Linked DNA regions of Pelodiscus sinensis. The protein of the gene in region 1 purifies or fractionates together with the protein of each later gene. This does not show direct contact. Links are inferred from orthologs where the notes say so. Each region holds a gene or a part of one and is shown on either strand. Other genes may lie near its edges.

What was found.
Region 2: the proteins of EEF1A2 (region 1) and EEF1B2 purify together in Homo sapiens (co-immunoprecipitation; 4 studies listed by BioGRID and IntAct, counting the BioPlex papers as one, with this or other methods). This does not show direct contact. The link is inferred for Pelodiscus sinensis from reciprocal best matches to the Homo sapiens genes EEF1A2 and EEF1B2.

Annotation. Positions count from the first base shown.
Region 1 is NC_134728.1:5,852,863-5,863,079, reverse strand, and holds the start of EEF1A2 (elongation factor 1-alpha 2), read right to left. Parts: upstream 6,574-10,217; 5' UTR 6,418-6,573; intron 5,397-6,417; exon of another isoform or gene 5,265-5,396; intron 4,002-5,264; 5' UTR 3,933-4,001; coding exon 3,789-3,932; intron 1-3,788. UniProt on the Homo sapiens protein: Translation elongation factor that catalyzes the GTP-dependent binding of aminoacyl-tRNA (aa-tRNA) to the A-site of ribosomes during the elongation phase of protein synthesis.
Region 2 is NC_134717.1:75,105,264-75,115,480, forward strand, and holds the start of EEF1B2 (elongation factor 1-beta), read left to right. Parts: upstream 1-3,989; 5' UTR 3,990-4,069; coding exon 4,070-4,149; intron 4,150-4,437; coding exon 4,438-4,560; intron 4,561-6,842; coding exon 6,843-6,966; intron 6,967-9,340; exon of another isoform or gene 9,341-9,417; intron 9,418-9,489; coding exon 9,490-9,556; intron 9,557-9,892; exon of another isoform or gene 9,893-10,023; intron 10,024-10,217. UniProt on the Homo sapiens protein: Catalytic subunit of the guanine nucleotide exchange factor (GEF) (eEF1B subcomplex) of the eukaryotic elongation factor 1 complex (eEF1).

The sequences.
Region 1 (10,217 bases):
TGGTCCTGCCTTGGGCTAGGGATGTAAGAGTATAGTCAATTAACCGATTAACTGATTAGCAAAAGCTTATTGGTTAATGTTATAGACTACACGCATTTCCCTCCCTCCCCTCGCCAGGAAATATTTTAGCAGGCTGGCCGGCTGCCCCGCACAGTCCTGGCTTGTGATGAGTATGGGACCTCTCCCTCCTGCAGCTCTGCATTTGAAGTGTATTAAGAGTCAGGCAGGCAGGCAGCCTGGCTCAGTTCTGGCTCACACCAGGCCCAGGAGCTCAGACCCGCCCTAGACAGAGTCTGCTGCCACAGCCCCACGCCAGGGACTATAGAATAGTCGACTAACCAATAAGAATGTATGAGGTTACTCAACTATTCAATTAACCGATATTTAACATCCCTACTTTGGGCAGGGGGCTGGACTCGATGACCTCCAGAGGTCTCTTCCAACCCTAAGATTTGGTATGAAAGTTAATATTGCTGTATAACAGTTTATCCTCTCTAAGTTAACTGTGTTATGTTCTGCTACTGTGCTCTGTTTGGTCCACTGCCATCAGAGTCAATGGAAAAATCTCCATGAACTTCAGCAGACACCGGATCAATGCCTTCATTAGATAGTTGCCATGTTCCCTCCCGGAGGTGGTGACGTGATTCCCCTGTGCACGATTTGTGCAGCACAAAGTACTGATGGAGGGCACACCGCGTACATAGATTTCTGTTGGGGATGACTTTGCAGTCAGGCACTGAGGGTGATGGGTATAGTCCTATAATGGTTGAATAAACCTACTGCTTGCTACAAGGAAATAAACAGCCACATCGTGCAAACAAAAAGCCTGCCTCCTCTGAATTTCCATGCACTCCTGAAGGTTCTAACAAATTCAGATTATAATCAGGATCTTTCCAAGTTTGCACACTAATTTGTCTAGCTCATTATTACAAATGGAAAAGGATGGGGTTATTCTTCATGCAAATAATTATTGTGCGAAATAGGGTGGCTACGTCAGATAAATGTAGTAGATAAATTATTTAAGCTAGTGGATAATAATCCATCACTTTTATAAAGCACTTTTCACACATTGACCTCAACGTGCTTTTCAAGAGATGGCGAGTATCAACAGCCCCACTTCACAGATGAACAAACTGAGGTAGAGAGAGAGGAAAATCACAGGAGGAGCTGAGAAGATACCTCAGGTCTCCACGCTCACAGACCACTACCCTGCTTGTGTACCATGCTGCTTGACAAACTATCCCTTCTCAGAAGAGCATCTGGGGATATGAATCTAGTCTAAACATATTTGGGATGGTTTTGACCAGTGTTCCCTCTAAACTGTGCACTTGTGCTGCTGCTCAGGAGAGATATCCATGCCACCCAGCTGATTAGCAGAGCATCCACAGCTAGGTTTGTGTTTATCCTGGTGGTGCACATTTGCACATGCCTCGGTGCACATGACAAAATTTATTCTGTATAGGTATGGAAAAGATTAGAGGGAACATTGGTGCTGCTCCTCAGCTCTATAGACCATGCAACTGTGCCTTCTTATTTGAGACCTCACAACATCCCCCCTCATTCAGAAAAAGAGACAGTTGAGAATTATCAGAGAGGGTTATTTGCTTATCCCCCTCTCCAAAAGAAAAGATGGGGAGAGGGGGCTGGTCTTTCCAAATTAGAGCTGGGTCACACTAAAACTTGCAATGTCATGCATAGCTTCAAGGCAAATGTCAGCCTTTATTTAACAAACACATCTCTGCCCCCCCCCCCCCCCCCCCGCCTACTCCCTAGGTCCCTTTCACTGTGTATCTTCAATTACCCAGAGCTGGTGTAGAAAAAAACCTGTATTATCTAGCTTTGCACAATGACTCCACTGTTAAGTACCAGAAACTGCCTGATATTTCTCGATTAAGCTAAGCATCAAGGACAGTTATGTTCTGAGATCAAAAATAAAAAATAAATAAAGAAACCTTCTAAGCTACAACCTCTGTATGCTCTCCTTTTATCTTTTGTCCTTAAAAAAAATGTATCAGCCATGAGGGAGAGGGGGAATGAGAGCAATGCTGGTTGTTGTTTTGTTTTTTTATTCATGCAGGCCTCCATTTCCTCCTAATGCAACTTAGTGAAAGAAAAACCCTCCACAACCCTGCATCAGAAAATGGAGTCTGAAAGCTCAGTCAATAGGCTATTAATAGCAGCTTCTAGCCCCTGCATATTCTGGCAAGTCAGTGAAAGTGTCCGTTCCATGAAAGTGGCTGCAGTCACATCTAGAACAACCTAATTATACCGAGTCTCCCTCATCAGTACAGGACAAAAATATCTATGCAAATAGCACAGTCCGTTTTCCAACCGAATTAAGATACAGGGTGCAGCTTACTGAGAAAGCTGCAAAGAGAACTGATGACAAAGTACAGAAAAAGGTGGTTGATCCTGGGTGTTGTTCCATAAATGAAAAGGGTTAAGAGACTGTTAGCAAAATGTCTGTTCAAGACTGGCAGCTCTAAAAGTGCTGGCATTTTTTGTATTACACATGTTGAATTAAGAAAAATTAAAGTATCTAGGCATGAAAAACAAATTTGTGAAGGCCACAGACATTTTACAGCAATGCATTAAGGTTCCCAATATGGTTCATTTCACAAGAATTTCCTATTGCCATGTTTCAAGTTCTTTTAACTTAAAAAGGTCATTCTGCAATGGTATTTCTTCCCTTTTACTCGATGCATTTGCCCTTGTTATATATTTTGTCTTTGTATGTAGTATGATGAAAGACAAATAAATGTATTTATCATTATACTGCTATTATTATGGTCTTTATAAAAAAAAGAAATAATACAATTAAATGAAGGCACATATTTCAAACCAGATTTTCTACCTTGACAGCTACTGCCAAAGCTATACACGAGATCCTAAACCCAGGAATGTAAATGGATTTTACAAGATTGGGTCAGACCATCTAGCCCAGTATCTTATCTCCAACAATGGCCAATGACAGCTGATTCAGAATGCCATTCAAGAAATACAGCAGAAGGCAGTAATGGAAAAATGTATTCCTAGAGAAAACTTCCTTCTAGCTCCCAATATTTAGATGTTGGCAGGGGTGGGGAACCTCAGTCCCAGGGGCCAGATGCAGCCCTCGGCTTACCTGGACCCTCCAGCATTGGAGAGCCTGTGCTGGCACTCCCGTCCCTTCTCCCCTTATCCCCCATTGCCCTACCACGGGGCTGGAGCACACAAAATCTACTAGCCTGGGCCCCCTAGGTTCTGATGTGCAAGGGGAGCATGGGGAGTGTCTTTCTCCTCAGCTGGGGGTTCAGTTTTTTTTTTTTCCTTTTTCCTTCTCACTTGTGTGCAGCCCCTGTCTGATTTTACTGTGACTCAGCAACCCCCAACCCAAAAAAGGTTCCCCACCCCTGCCTTACAGCATGAACATTTATCTCCCTTCCAGAATCTTTATTCTTTACAGTTAGAACTTGTTAGCTCTGTACAATGGCCAATATATAGAATGTGGCAATGAATGCCACAGTCCGCTGCAAAACCCAAAGGAAAACGTGCCAATGCCAAAATGTCCTCTCTTCCCAAGGCCAGAGAAGTTGGAAAGGCCCAGAAGCAAAGCGATACAGAGCGAATAGGAACAATGGGTGGGCCAAGGAGTAGAGGGAAGGTAGAGGAAGGGCACAGGGAGAAGGGAAGGAATATACTGTAGGGAACAATCCTGCACTGGCAGGGAACGGATTGGATAATCTACAGGGCTTGTCCATCACTCATTCGTTGAGGAAGAGACAGAGGGGAAGGGTCATAGGCCTCACCTCAGCAGCTTCCTTCTCAAATTTCTCAATGGTCCTTTTGTCGATGCCCCCACATTTGTAGATGAGGTGCCCCGTGGTGGTGGATTTCCCAGAGTCCACATGTCCAATGACGACGATGTTGATATGTGTCTTCTCCTTCCCCATCCTCGCGGGTGATGCTGGAAAGGTCCGAGGCTAGCAGAGGCGTGGAAGCAAAGCTGTTTTCCGTGGAGGCTGGGGAGGGACAGACAAGAACATCAAGAGGCTCTGACAAGCAACAAGACCCAGGGCCACCAGGCCTCCTCAGCAGCCTCACCCACAATGACAAACCACATTTAACTATTCAGACACATTTGTACCTTCTGCCTGCTGAATGGATGCACTCTGCTCAGAGACCAGCACACTAGCTGTAGCCAGACCGGGTCAGGTGCGTCTGTCCACCTCCCTTGTCTGTGGCAGTGATGGAAAGCGCCTGCATGCTTCTGGAGTGGCTGAGGCGAACCCCCTTCCTTTTCCCATTCTGCATGCTGGGTAAACCCCGCTGAGCCCCATACAAGTCGCCATCTTTTCAGCCTGTGCAGCTAGGTCTGACTGCTGCCCCTCCCCCGCAGAGACTGCCCATTCAAAATGACATATCATAGGAGCCCCAAACATGTTACCCTACTTAGCCCTTGAACCATGGACAATGTGGGGTGGTACCCCAGAGGTGCATTGCTCCCCTATGTCCCTGCCTAGATGTTGATTGCTAAATGGGGTGCGCCCTCCCTGCTCCTCTGTGTGGCTCTCCCTGCACCCTCCCTCCCTGGCAAGCACCAGTTGCCTATGCCTTGAACCCTGCCAGACTGGCAGCTCCCCCCTCTGCCTTGTGTCCAGGAGGGTTGCTACTCATTTATTCTGGGTGCTTCTATGTCAAAAATTCCCACTGGTTACTAGGCACTGCCTCCATTTCATGCAGTGCTCGGCTCTGGGCGTCCGTTCTTGCCTAGGCTTGTTGATATTCAATTCCACTCTGGCTGCTCCACTGAAACCTCCCAGAGGGCTCATGATCAGGTGGGCAATATGGTGCCCACAAAAGGGAATGGACAAAAATAACCCAGGCTCAGCCCTCTCTTTCCCTGGAAGCTTGCAGAACACTCAGCCATGCCACCAGGGCACGCAGCCGCGAGTTTTCTTCCTTTTCTTCCTCCCCACAAGATCCAATGGAAGAGGTGTGCAAAGAGGGTCTAAAAGCAAGACATCCAGTGATCTGCCTCCGCATTTCCCAGGATCCTGTGGCTTTGCACCTTGCACCACTAACCCAGCAGCATAGGAGCCTAGGAGTTTGTTGCCTAATCAAATCCAGTTTCACATATCTGCCCTTAAAGGCAAAAGAGGCCGGGGGGAAAGTTTTCTGGTATCATACAGATTCCATCATGCACTCAGTTATACCCCCCTCGGAGCAACCTGCCAGGGGGCAAACCCCTCCCCTCCCCCCTCCTTTCTTCACCCTTCACTGACCTGGCTCATCGCATTTTGGAAACTGCATCCCTAATGCTAATGCCTGTAGATAAGCGAACCAAAATGCAGGCAGCTCTTTCCTGGGTGTGCATCCCTCGCCTCCAGCGGCAATCCGCTGAGGAGGAGAAGCCCCCAGGATGAAAGATGCTAAGCGCTTTTATTTGCAAAGGGGGGGGAGGAGGGCCAGGCATTTGGGGCAGAAAAAGCTAGGGATTTGCAATCCAGGGAACGGCCAAAACCCGCGCCGCAGACAACACCTGCTGGCGACCCAACCTCCCCTCGCGGCCCCCCTCCCTCTGGGTTATTTTTAAACCCGGATTGCCCCGGACCTGGCTAGCTCAAAGCGGCCAGGGTCTAATTCTCCGTTTCTTAAGCCTCCCCACGCACCCGGCTCCCCGCACGCAGACCCGGCCGCGCTGCAAAGCCCGAATGCCTGGCCTCGCCTTGCCTGGGGAGGGGGCCCCACAAGGTCACCCCCAGCCGCTGCCCCCCCATTGAACCCCACAACCCCCTCCCCCAGCCGCTGCCCCCCCCATTGAACCCCACAACCCCCTCCCCCAGCCGCTGCCCCCCCATTGAACCCCACAACCCCCTCCCCCAGCCGCTGCCCCCCCATTGAACCCCACAACCCCTCCCCCAGCCGCTGCCCCCCCCATTGAACCCCACAACCCCCTCCCCCAGCCGATGCCCCCCCATTGAACCCCACAACCCCTCCCCCAGCCGATGCCCCCCCATTGAACCCCACAACCCCCTCCCCCAGCCGCTGCCCCCCCATTGAACCCCACAACCCCCTCCCCCAGCCGATGCCCCCCCATTGAACCCCACAACCCCTCCCCCAGCCGATGCCCCCCCCATTGAACCCCACAACCCCCTCCCCCAGCCGCTGCCTACCCATTGAACCCCACAACCCCCTCCCGCAGCCGCTGCCCCCCCCATTGAACCCCACAACCCCCTCCCCCAGCCGCTGCCCCCCATTGAACCCCACAACCCCCTCCCCCAGCCTGGGGGGCCGCCCCCAAGCGAGCTGGGAGGAGACACGCCCGCCGGCCGCAGGGACAGTGCCCGGAGCACCCCCGCGGCTCCCCCCTGCGCCCCCCGGGCCGCCCAGCCCCCCAGCCCCGGCAGGGCTCGGAGCCCGCTGCCCGGCTCTTACCGCTGTCGGCGCCGGGCTCAGACAGCAGAGGCTGCCCGCTTCGGCTCCGGCGGCTTTATCTCCCTGGCAGGGGGTCCCCCTATTGCCAGTGCCGGCGCAATGCAGTGCCCCCCTGCGCTACAGCAATGCGGTACCGAGCGGGGCGGAGCCGGGCGGAGGGGCAGGGCGCCGGGGAGGGGGGGGCGGCAGCTGATGGGGGGGGGGTCGGAGGAAGAGAAAAATAGAGAGGGGTGGGGGAGCTGGAGAAGGGGAGGGGAGAGGAGGGATGGGGAGGGAGGGCAGATGGGGGAGGGGGCACGGCAGGGTTGGCAGGTGATGGGGGGGTCAGAGGAGGGGAGAGGAAGATAAAATAGAGGGTGGGATGGGGAGGGGGACTAGAGAGAGGGGAGATGGGGAGGGGAGAGGCGGGATGGGGAGGGAGGGCAGATGGGGGAGGGGGCACGGCAGGGTTGGCAGGTGATGGGGGGTCAGAGAAGGGGAGAGGAAGATAAAATAGAGGGTGGGATGGGGAGGGGGACTAGAGAGAGGGGAGATGGGGAGAGGAGAGGAGGGATGGGGAGGGAGGGCAGATGGGGGAGGGGGCACGGCAGGGTTGGCAGGTGATGGGGGGTCAGAGGAGGGGAGAGGAAGATAAAAATAGAGGGTGGGATGGGGAGGGGGAACTAGAGAGAGGGAGATGGGGAGGGGAGAGGAGATGGGGTAATGGGATGGGGATTAAGAGAAGAGGGGAGGGAGCAGATGGGGGGACACACTGGCAGGTAATGGGGGGATTAGGGTCAGTGGAGAGGAAGATAAAAACAAAGGTTGAGAGATGGGGAGGGAGGACAGATAGGGAGGGGGACACAGCAGGGATGGCAGGTAATTGGGGGGAGTTAGAGAAGGGGAGAGGGTGGGATGGGGAGGGGGCTCTAGAGAGAGGCGAGATGAGGAGATGGGGGAATGGGATTGGAGGAGGTGGGGGAGATGGAAGGGAGGAGAGGGAGATAGGGGAGATGGGGGGGCACAGCAGGTACAGCAAGAGAAGGGGGTTAGAGGAAAAGAAAAATAGAGGGTGGGGAGGGGAGCTAGAGATTGGGGAAAAGGGAAGAGGAGACTGGGGCAGGAGGGGGAGGGGAGGGGAAGAGAAAAATTAAGGTTGTGGGATGGGAAGGGAGAGGAGATGGGGAGGGAGGACAGATGGAGGAGGAGGGCACAGCGGGGATGGCAGGTAATGGGGGGGTCAGAGGAGGGGAGAGGAGAGAAAAATAAAGGGTGGGTTGGGGAGGAGCAGCTAGAGAGAGGGGAGATGAGGAGATGGGGGAATGGGATGGGGGATATGGGGAGATGAAGAGGGACACATGGGGGGACACAGCGGGGATGACAGGAGAGTGGGGGGTCAGAGGAGGGCTGGGAAACCAAGGGCAGTGTCTTGCAGTGGGGCAGCGGAGGGGTGCAGGCCGGTGAGGAGGCTCGGAGTTCTATCCGGCTGCAGGCTGGCCAAGTCAGGCCACGCAGGAATATTTGCACCATGTGCCAGCCAGCCACTAACCCCGGGAGAAGGAAGGCTGGGCCCGGGTATGACAGCAAGTGGGGCAGAGTGACAAGTGCCATTAGCACTAGTCATCTGGCTGGGCTCAGGATCCAGGGGTGTCCCAATCGGGGACAAGCTGGAGGGCTCAGAACATTATTGAGGATGAGCCTCCGCATCGCTGAAACCAGCCGGAAGAGACAGCAGCGAGGCTGAGGGCAGAGCGGGCCCGAGGAGAGAACTTCTCACCAGCCTTGAGGTGGCCGGCCCCAGTCAGGATGTAGACACATGGGGCTGTTCTCTGGCTCCCAACGTGACTCCCTTTGGAAACCTCAGTTCACAGGAGAAAGAGAGGTTTGCTTTTGCTTGGCACCACCGAAGCTCCTGGCTGGATTGCTGAAGCGCTGATGTCCCTGGGCCCTTTTGGAGGAGGCCGCGTTTCCCCGCAACGCTGCGGGACATAGCGAACTGCCTAAGTGGGAGCTGAAGGCCTCATTACATATTAGCAGTGATTGATACTCACCACCCAGGAGAGGCTATTGCCGTTACAAATTGAATTCTGGCAGTAATCACCAGGCTGTCATTTCAGTCTCTTTCCAAATTCATTTTACCCCATCCATCACTTTGGAGAGGATACCAAGGCTGGACCGACCTGATTAGATTGCAAATTCACCTCAGTGGCCAGGAAGTAGGCCTCGAGGCTGCCATGTTAGTGGTGGGAGCAAGTGTGCTGGAGAGGGACAGCAGATACCTGCAGAGAAAAGTTACAGGATAAGGAAACTTTTACAATGGATTTCTTCAGAGGGAGGGAAAGCTAGAATTGTAACTACTACCACAGAGGGGCAACCAGAGCTCTGATGAGAAAGGCATGTTCAGGTTTGCTTGGCCTATTTGGAAGGGGAAAGAAAACATTTCTTCCTAGATTTGCATAACAGGGTTTCACCAGGGCTTATAAGTAATAATAATCATACCTAGCTTTTTCATATAGAACTCTTCATCAGTAGATCTCAAAGCAAGTCGCAATATTTAGTGTGTGTATCCTCACAACAGCCATGGGAGGGAGGGAAATGCTGTTATCCCATTGTACAGATGGGGAACTGAGGCAGAGAGGCCTAGGTAACTTGGCCAAGCAGTACAGATAAGGTTTTGGATTCATCAAATGTTAGTGTTTCTAGTGTTTAAAGCAGGGGACTGAGGGTTAGGACTTTTGGTCTCTAGCCTAGTCTTTGCTACTGATTAGCTATATGACCTTGGGCAAGTCATTTAACTTCTCTGTGCCTCAGTTTGCCCATCCTTAAAATGGGGCTAATGATTATTTGGGTCAAAAACTGCTTTGGGAATAATTAAATCCTTGTATAGCCCTCCTAAACATTCCGGTGAAACGTCTAATTATTAGATTCAACACCTGTCATTTAACAATGTCATCAACGTTCATTATTATAGCAGGAAACACCAAGGCTTATCAGCAAATGAACAAATAAAGCAAAATGTGCATAAATACCTGTGTTGATTCAGCTGATATGAATATTGCTTTATCAAACATAAAAAGCTGTGTTTGATATGATGAGTCTATGAGAAGTGGTTAAAGCTCTGATGGCAGAAATATCTCGTAAATACTCTCTTCTTGTGCAGTTACTTGATATGGTACTTGCCTGAGAAATACCATGTGGTTGCCAGAATATTTACAGAATGAGCTATGCAATTGTAAGAATAATGCAGACAATTTCTAATGTAAAGCTAGAGGACAGGTTAAAAGGTAATTAGTTGTGACCTAAACAAAATACTAACTAAGCAGGATTTTTAGGGCATAGACCCATCATTTTGTTCTGTGTTTGTACTGCTAGCTCAATAGGATCCTGTCCATGCCTGGGCCTCCTATGTACTAGCACAATTACAATAACAACAAATAGTGCATATACCACATTTTACCAGCTCAACCTGATGTTTTTAACTTGTATCATTTAAGGGTTAAAGAATATCTGTACCAGGTAACTTACAGTAGTCCTATCCTACAATAATTTATTGTACAGGAGTCATATTATGGTTCTATTATATTTTAATCTGCATTCTATTAATATTTTAGAACCACGATAGATCACAAAATTATATATGAGATGCCATTTCTTTTCATATATAAAATATAATGCAGTGAGGCTCACGTGTCAACCAGAAAAGATGGCTGTCAGGCAAGATTTAGAAGGCCCAGTTCAGACCAGTCATCGGGTCTGAATTTGTCCCAGTGAGTGTAAATGATATAGATTATTCATAAAGGATTAATAATATAGACACATTT
Region 2 (10,217 bases), on another chromosome or scaffold:
CTGGCGGGTTTGTACTAATGGAGAGTTACGAACGGTGCGAACGCAGGGCTGCAGGCTGCTGGGGCGCTGGCGGGTTTGTACCAATGGAGAGTTACGAACGGTGCGAACGCAGGGCTGCAGGCTGCTGGGGCACTGGCGGGTTTGTACTAATGGAGAGTTACGCACGGTGCGAACGCAGGGCTGCAGGCTGCTGGGGCGCTGGCGGGTTTGTACCAATGGAGAGTTACGAACGGTGCGAACGCAGGGCTGCAGGCTGCTGGGGCGCTGGCGGGTTTGTACTAATGGAGAGTTACGAACGGTGCGAACGCAGGGCTGCAGGCTGCTGGGGCGCTGGCGGGTTTGTACTAATGGAGAGTTACGAACGGTGCGAACGCAGGGCTGCAGGCTGCTGGGGCGCTGGCGGGTTTGTACTAATGGAGAGTTACGAACGGTGCGAACGCAGGGCTGCAGGCTGCTGGGGCACTGGCGGGTTTGTACTAATGGAGAGTTACGAACGGTGCGAACGCAGGGCTGCAGGCTGCTGGGGCGCTGGCGGGTTTGTACTAATGGAGAGTTACGCACGGTGCGAACGCAGGGCTGCAGGCTGCTGGGGCGCTGGCGGGTTTGTACTAATGGAGAGTTACGCACGGTGCGAACGCAGGGCTGCAGGCTGCTGGGGCGCTGGCGGGTTTGTACTAATGGAGAGTTACGCACGGTGCGAACGCAGGGCTGCAGGCTGCTGGGGCGCTGGCGGGTTTGTACTAATGGAGAGTTACGCACGGTGCGAACGCAGGGCTGCAGGCTGCTGGGGCACTGGCGGGTTTGTACCAATGGAGAGTTACGAACGGTGCGAACGCAGGGCTGCAGGCTGCTGGGGCGCTGGCGGGTTTGTACCAATGGAGAGTTACGCACGGTGCGAACGCAGGGCTGCAGGCTGCTGGGGCACTGGCGGGTTTGTACCAATGGAGAGTTACGCACGGTGCGAACGCAGGGCTGCAGGCTGCTGGGGCACTGGCGGGTTTGTACCAATGGAGAGTTACGAACGGTGCGAACGCAGGGCTGCAGGCTGCTGGGGCACTGGCGGGTTTGTACTAATGGAGAGTTACGAACGGTGCGAACGCAGGGCTGCAGGCTGCTGGGGCACTGGCGGGTTTGTACCAATGGAGAGTTACGCACGGTGCGAACGCAGGGCTGCAGGCTGCTGGGGCACTGGCGGGTTTGTACCAATGGAGAGTTACGAACGGTGCGAACGCAGGGCTGCAGGCTGCTGGGGCACTGGCGGGTTTGTACTAATGGAGAGTTACGAACGGTGCGAACGCAGGGCTGCAGGCTGCTGGGGCGCTGGCGGGTTTGTACCAATGGAGAGTTACGAACGGTGCGAACGCAGGGCTGCAGGCTGCTGGGGCGCTGGCGGGTTTGTACTAATGGAGAGTTACGAACGGTGCGAACGCAGGGCTGCAGGCTGCTGGGGCGCTGGCGGGTTTGTACCAATGGAGAGTTACGAACGGTGCGAACGCAGGGCTGCAGGCTGCTGGGGCACTGGCGGGTTTGTACTAATGGAGAGTTACGCACGGTGCGAACGCAGGGCTGCAGGCTGCTGGGGCGCTGGCGGGTTTGTACTAATGGAGAGTTACGCACGGTGCGAACGCAGGGCTGCAGGCTGCTGGGGCACTGGCGGGTTTGTACTAATGGAGAGTTACGAACGGTGCGAACGCAGGGCTGCAGGCTGCTGGGGCACTGGCGGGTTTGTACTAATGGAGAGTTACGCACGGTGCGAACGCAGGGCTGCAGGCTGCTGGGGCACTGGCGGGTTTGTACTAATGGAGAGTTACGCACGGTGCGAACGCAGGGCTGCAGGCTGCTGGGGCACTGGCGGGTTTGTACCAATGGAGAGTTACGAACGGTGCGAACGCAGGGCTGCAGGCTGCTGGGGCGCTGGCGGGTTTGTACTAATGGAGAGTTACGCACGGTGCGAACGCAGGGCTGCAGGCTGCTGGGGCACTGGCGGGTTTGTACTAATGGAGAGTTACGAACGGTGCGAACGCAGGGCTGCAGGCTGCTGGGGCGCTGGCGGGTTTGTACTAATGGAGAGTTACGAACGGTGCGAACGCAGGGCTGCAGGCTGCTGGGGCGCTGGCGGGTTTGTACTAATGGAGAGTTACGAACGGTGCGAACGCAGGGCTGCAGGCTGCTGGGGCGCTGGCGGGTTTGTACTAATGGAGAGTTACGAACGGTGCGAACGCAGGGCTGCAGGCTGCTGGGGCACTGGCGGGTTTGTACCAATGGAGAGTTACGAACGGTGCGAACGCAGGGCTGCAGGCTGCTGGGGCGCTGGCGGGTTTGTACTAATGGAGAGTTACGAACGGTGCGAACGCAGGGCTGCAGGCTGCTGGGGCGCTGGCGGGTTTGTACTAATGGAGAGTTACGCACGGTGCGAACGCAGGGCTGCAGGCTGCTGGGGCACTGGCGGGTTTGTACCAATGGAGAGTTACGCACGGTGCGAACGCAGGGCTGCAGGCTGCTGGGGCGCTGGCGGGTTTGTACTAATGGAGAGTTACGCACGGTGCGAACGCAGGGCTGCAGGCTGCTGGGGCACTGGCGGGTTTGTACCAATGGAGAGTTACGAACGGTGCGAACGCAGGGCTGCAGGCTGCTGGGGCGCTGGCGGGTTTGTACTAATGGAGAGTTACGAACGGTGCGAACGCAGGGCTGCAGGCTGCTGGGGCGCTGGCGGGTTTGTACTAATGGAGAGTTACGCACGGTGCGAACGCAGGGCTGCAGGCTGCTGGGGCACTGGCGGGTTTGTACCAATGGAGAGTTACGAACGGTGCGAACGCAGGGCTGCAGGCTGCTGGGGCACTGGCGGGTTTGTACTAATGGAGAGTTACGAACGGTGCGAACGCAGGGCTGCAGGCTGCTGGGGCGCTGGCGGGTTTGTACTAATGGAGAGTTACGCACGGTGCGAACGCAGGGCTGCAGGCTGCTGGGGCGCTGGCGGGTTTGTACCAATGGAGAGTTACGAACGGTGCGAACGCAGGGCTGCAGGCTGCTGGGGCGCTGGCGGGTTTGAAGGAAGCCGTCGCACGCCGGCCTGTGCCACCAGGGGCACTGCCCCAGTACGTGCCGCAGCGCGGGCCCCGGAGCCCGCAGCACCGACAGCGAGCGAGCGGCCTGGGCAGGCCTGCGAACGCCCCAGGCCCTAGGGCCGGGCCCCGCCTCAGGGCACCCGGGCTCCCCCAGCCAGGGAGACCCGGGCCGCCGCTGCCGGGCGGGGCGGGGCACAGGGGGACGCGCGCGCCCCCGCGCCGGTCAAGGGCACCCCGGGACAGGCGGAAAGCAACGAACCCGCCGCGGCAGGGAGCGGCTGACCCCGCCCAGCGCCGCAGCAAGGCCCCGGGCCCCGTTACCTCCGTGCGCTGGAGGAGCCGGCCGCCCCCGCCGCACCTATTCGGTCTTCTGAAGGCAGACGCTGCGCCTGAGCGCTCTCGCCCCGCTAATATGGCGGCCGCTTCGGCAACTTCCGTCACTCCCCGGAGATTCCATCGGCCATTTCCGTCAGTAGGGGCCTCGGCAACTTCCGTCACTCCCCGGAGATTCCATCGGCCATTTCCGTCAGTAGGGGCCTCGGCAACTTCCGTCACTCCCCGGAGATTCCATCGGCCATTTCCGTCAGTAGGGGCCTCGGCAACTTCCGTTACTCCCCGAAGGCTCCTTCGGCCATTTCCGTCACCAGTGCCGCTGATCGGTAACTTCCGTCAGTCCCCCGCTCAGTTCTGGTGATTTTCGAAAATCTTCGCGTTGTAGCCGAGGCGGAACCCCCCGAACATCCTCATTATTAGCCGTTCGCTATCTCCGTCCTCCGAGTGTCCCTCCCCATCCGCCCTGCTCCTGTGCTAAGTGGTGTGGCGGGGGATTATTTCCAGGTGCGTTCCCGCGGAGGGATAATGTCACGTCAGAGGCCCGTGCGGCGGAGGGATACCACGCACTCTCTATAAAACGGGAGCGGAGGGCTGCCTCTCTCTCTTTCTGCGGTGGGTGCCGGTCGGGTCTTGCGTCTGAGGGCTGTGACGACGACGGTACTCTCGCCGCCATGGGCTTCGGGGACCTCCGCTCCTCTGCCGGCCTCCGGCTCCTCAACGACTTCCTCGCTGACAAAAGCTACATCGAGGGGTGAGCGGCGCGCGGAGCCGTGAGGCGGCTGCCGCAGAACGGCCCCTCCCCCGCGAGCCCGGCCTGCTGGGATCTGGCGCGTGGCCTGCAGGTCGGCCTCGTGCCGCGTGGCCTGCGCGCGCTCGGACACCCCCCCCCCCCCAACAGCGGTTGAGTCCGTTGGGCCCAGGGCGGTGATGCACGAGCCGCCTGGCGGGTTCCCTGCGCCCCGGGGCGGGCGGGAAGCCTGCGGCGTGTGTTGCGCAGCGTGTCGTGCCTGGGATCGGCGCTGACTCGTGTTTTCTGCAGGCACGTGCCCTCGCAGGCGGACGTGGCGGTTTTCGAGGCCTTGTCCGCGCCACCCCCGGCTGACCTGTTCCACGCGCTGCGCTGGTACAAGCACATCCAGTCCTATGAGCGGCAAAAGGCCAGGTACCTCCAGCGGCTCCCGCGGAGCGCTCACTGATACGTGAGGGGCTAATCGCCGAGCGTCATCGTGTCTCCATGGGCTTGTAGCCAGCAGTTCTGTAGACAGGGACTTTGAACCCACGGGCTGTTCCTGGCCCAGCACACAGCTGAGCCCACAATGGTAAATAGGTGACGCTTATACCCCGACCGGATCATGGCCCAGTACAGATTCCCCCTACAATATGTACACCAGCTTCTCACTCCCCGCCCCATGTGTATCTTGAAATAGGAATTCTAGCAAACAAAATTACCAACTCTCATGTTGGGAGACCTTTCATTCACATGATCATCCTGAAATCTTAAAGTAAATTAAATAGTGACCTGCAGAAGCACCTGGAAATGTGAAAGCAAATGTATTCTTTTCTCTTTTAGTGAATTTAGTGCTCATGAAAGTTGCCGTATTGACAGCCATGGAGACTGAAGTCCTCTCTAGAAAAGGTACACCATAGGCAGCTTCAGTGTGTGCACTTTCCACACTGCCTCACCATTGTGCTTCAACCCTGTTTTGGGGGAGCCTCCTGTAGAGTTGAATTGTTCAGTCTCCTGACCTTTGGCTTTTTTGATGCTTCTGCTAACTGTATACCACTTGTGATGGTTTGTCTTGAAACTGGACAAAAGTTATAAGCTTATTTCATTAATCTCGCTACAAATTCTGACAACATCTAACTAGTACCAGTCTAGCAAAATTCAAAGTACAGGTTAATATAGAGGAACATAATCATGGAGGCTAGTGTTCTGTCACTGCAGTTTATCAGAAATAGCAATCTAATAAAATGCAAATAGACATAAAAGCTTAAGATAACATCATTTTGTCTTCGGTAGATACCTTCAGAATAATGAAGGTGCAAAGAAAGTCATAGTTAAATACACTAAGGTAGCTAAAGGAGGAGGCAGTAGAAAGGCTGAAATATATATATTTTCAAGCAATAGAGGGAGCTGTTTGCACTTCTGAAGTCCAGACTCAATTACAAACATAAAAGCAAATGCCTATTTGCAGCTGTGGAAGTAAGCAAGAGGTGTGTGTGGTGTGGACATGGGACAGCACTGGAGGCACAGTAGGTGGCCATGCAATCAGTGGCTATAGAAGTGACAGTTTTCCTTTCAAGGCACCACTTCTCTCCTGTTGGCTGTGTGGCTCTCCCTGCTCCAGAGTCCTCCAGCTTTGGGTGCAACCCCTGAGGTGAGATGGGTGGAGGATGTCCAGAAGTCCCCTTCAGAATTTCCATCTTCCTCATCCTCTAATTAAATCTGCCTTTCCATAAACACCAGCATTAAGGTTAAATAAACTATTTCTTGGTCAATTCTATTATTCTGATTGTTTAATTACTAGCATTGTTTCCTGTGCGGTTGGGTGTCTGCTTAGGAGAAATTCAAATGATGCTGAGCTGATTAGCAGAGCATCTGTTTGTTGGTGTAGATTTGCACATGCCTCAGTGCACATAAAATACTACACATGGATGGAAAAAATCTGCACACAGTGCAGATATGGATTACTAGTATATTTTGTGAATATAGTATTTCAGCTATATTATGGGTTAAGTAGGTTTTTGTGGGATAGCCTGGGAACCTAAAACCATTTTATAGCTTTCTATAGGAAAATGTGTTCAGAGTTGGGGCTTCCTGTATTTAGTTCCTAACAGGTTCCATTCGTTCTAAAACAACACAAGCCAGGTTGTGTTGATGTTAGGCACTAAAAAAGCTCATTCTCAAACAACTCCATAGCTAAAACACCAAAATCAATTAATTACCTGGTTACAAAACTAGCCTTACCACTGTACCTACCAAGCCACTAATTGATCCTCCACTGAAAACAAAGGTTTTCAAGAAATCATTTGGGTGGAAAGTGGAAGATTTATTTAATGATGCAATATAGTGTTAATTTTCAAGAACCACTAATCTTTCTCTGATCTATTGTCTCTTTTCTGCATGTTGTAAAAAGCAAAACTTACCAAATCACCCATGAACAAAATTCCAGACAAGTGGTTGCTGTTAGGTGCTATATTGTCGGAAATTCTGCTAGCAAGAGCAAAAGTAGTATGCCATTTAGCTGCCTATGCATGCGGGATTCACCATTATAATTGTCAATTTAATTATGTTGAGTGCACTTTTGGGACTGTTCTGGCTTCTCTCACTTTTGAAATTGTAGTATACTTGATTGCTATCACAAATAATCATTACTGGAGGTTCATTGATCTTAAATCTTTGTGTGTGAGATTAGGAGTGTAATATTTTGCCACTTGTTTTAGTTTGCCAGGAGTAAAGAAAGCTTTGGGGAAATATGGTCCTGCTGATGTTGAAGACGCTACAGCTGCAGCCACAGATAGCAAAGATGATGATGACATTGATCTCTTCGGATCAGAGGATGAGGAGGTACTGGCTAATCTTAAGCAACAAATGGTCTGGTAGCACTTTATAGACTAACAAAACATGTAGATGGTATCATGCGCTTTCGTGGCCACAGCCCACTTCTTCAGATGACTGGAATTATGAGTTTACGATGCCCAGACCTAAAATGAATGGGGGGAAGAGGGGGAGGAAGGGGCTAGGAGACACAGAGCAGAGGGTATGAAAATATCAAAGGGGGAAAAAAAGTAGGCAGAACTGGTAACCTATAAGCCCAATCTTTAGGTGTAGTTAAAAGCAGCAGACAAGAATCATAGGATAGCAATTAGATAGGAAGGGTACCAACACCAGAAAATACACACAGAGCTGTTGGCACCTTCATTCATAGAGACCTCAGAAGGCCATCAAGTCCAGCCCCCCGCCCAAGGCAGGACCAATCCCAATTAAATCAACCTAGCCAGGGCTTTGTCAAGCCGAGACTTAAACACCTCTAGGGATAAAGACTCCCCCTACTTCCCTAGGTAACCCATTCCAGTGCTTCACCACCCTCCTAGTGAAATAGTTTTTCCTAATATCCAACCTGGACCTCTCCCCACCGCAACTTGAGACCATTGCTCCTTGTTCTGCCATCCATCACTACTATGAACAGCCTTTCTCCAGCCTCTTTGGAACCTCCCTTCGGGAAGTTGAAGGCTCCTATCAAATCCCCCCTCACTCTTCTCTTTTGCAGACTAAACAGACCCAACTCCCTCAGTCTTTCCTTGTAAGTCATGTGCTCCAACCCCCTAATCATTTAGTTGCCCTCCGCTGGACCCTCTCCAATGCATCCAGATCCTTTCTGTAATTAGGGGCCCAGAACTGGACACAGTATTCCAGATGTGGCCTCACCAGAGCCGAATAAAGAGGAATAATCACATCTCTGGATCTACTGGCAACGTTCCTCTTAATGCAACCTAATATGCCATTAGCCTTCTTGGCTACATGGGCACACCATTGACTTATATCCAGCTTCTCATCCACTGTAATCCCCTGGTCCTTTTTTTGCAAAACTGCTACTTAGCCAGTTGGTCCCCTCCAGCCTGTACCAATGCTTTGGATTCTTCCATCCCAAGTGCAGGACTCTACACTTGTCCTTGTTGAACCTCATCAGATTTCTTGTGGCCCAATCCTCCAATTTGTCTAAGTCATTTTGGACCCTATCTCTGCCCTCCAGCGTATCTGCCTCTCCCCCTAGAGCTTAGTGTCATCTGCAAACTTGCTGAGGGTGCAATCCATCTCTTCATCCAGGTCACTAATAAAGATGTTGAACAAAAATGGTCCCAGAACTGAACCTTGGGGCACTCCACTAGCACCATCCTGACATCAAGCCATTGATCATTACCTGCTGGGCCCAACCTTCCAGCTAGCTTTCTATCCATTGTACCATCCATTTGTCCAATCCACGTTCCCTTAACTTGCTGGCAAGAATATTGTGGGAGACCATATCAAAAGCCTTGCTAAAATCAAGGTATTAATTGATCTGGAGCATGTGCGAGGCTTCCAGGCAAGGACCGAGCGTTGGGCAGTCAGGCGAAACGCCCCGTGTATGTCAGGGTACTGACTTGGTAACCATTTATCACATCCAGTGACTTTCCCATATCTACAGAGCCAGTTACCTCATCATAGAAGCTAATCAGATTGAATGTTAGGCTGAATAATGTCCAAGCCATTGCTTATCTCGATTGAGGAGGTTATCAGTGTGAGAATTGAATTTGTGGATGTATTGTAATTCCAACGCCTCTGTGTATTTGGCTTGTAGAATTAGTTTGTGACAAGACAGCCACCTGGAGAGCTTTTAAAGAGTGTTTAGGTAGATTGAAGTGTTGTCCTACAGGTTTCTGTATTTCCTTTACATATATCTGATTTGTGTCCATTGGGGGGTGGGTGGGTGGGTGGGTGTGTGTGTGTGTCCATTGATAGATATAAAAAAATATAGTGCAGTGGGGCATCGCTGGCATTTGATGGCATAGATCAAATTACTGGATGTGCAATTAAATGAGTCTTTGACTCGGTAGCTTATGTTGTTGTCTCCAGTACTGAAGAGATTATTTTTAGAAATAGACTTGTGATTTTAGGTTCTCATTAGTTTTCTTCTTTTTGTATTTAAAATATCATAATTAAATTGAAATAGTACATTTCTGGTGTATATCACGGCCCTGAAATTCATTTGACTTTGAATGCTTAACAGGAAAGAACATGTGAGGAGGTAAATAGCTAATTGGGTAGAGAAGAGCAATTTATTGTAATAGGCATGAATGTGACTCCGCTGTTATGCATTACAAACTACGCTTAATCTTTGTCACAAAGGTGGTAGGAGTTTTGTAAACTTGCTAGAGCAAGTTTGTATGAAGTGTCTGTCTGACTGGTAACATGATGAATAAAACCAAATCACCATCTTTCGGCTGATCTTGTGATGATTTGTTTTTACCTGACCAAAAGCCAGTCTAATTTTATTAGTGGATAAAGTGTGTCTGTCTTTGCCTTGGTGTGAATCTGTTTTTTCTTTTTCAGGAAAGTGAAGAATCAAAGAGACTGAGAGAAGAGCGTCTTGCTCAGTATGAATCTAAGAAATCCAAAAGTATGTTTGGTAGCTTTAATAGCCTGTTTTATGCACTTGGTTTAAGTATGCATCGAAAATTGAAATAAGAATTTTCCAGATTATTAGCTGGAGTAGATGGTTTGCTTTGATCAAGTATACTTGAAAGTTTTTCACTGTTAAAGCACTTTTATTCCATGCGCACTTGAAACGATGTTTGTCAATGAGATGTGACTTTAGTTTGGGATTGGCTTGTAAAGCTAAAAATGCAAAGTTTAGTCTCATTAAAGTCTCTATCTTAATGTCTAAAGTAAGGAGAAGATTAAAAACCAGCGGATATTATTTTCAGATGGCAGCCTTGTCATTTTAAATATAGGAACCCACAGCTACTGGTCTGGAACTGTTCTGAAATGTAACAGTTGCAGTATTCCATCTGTGGGAAATAAACTGTTACTGTATCATGTCCTTTTTGGGTCAGCTGAAAAGGACTTTCTCTGTAACAGACAAGAGAACTTGGATTTGATGCAAGTTTCTAAATAAGTTTGGCTTGATAAGATGACTTTTTGGAAGTACATGTGACTTAGTATTATACTAACTGGATATATGATTGGAAGGAGTAAATCCCTCTGTGTTGACAAATACATAAAGTTTTATTCGTCTGTTTTGACTATTCTTTTCCTGCTGCATGTTTACAATAACTTTT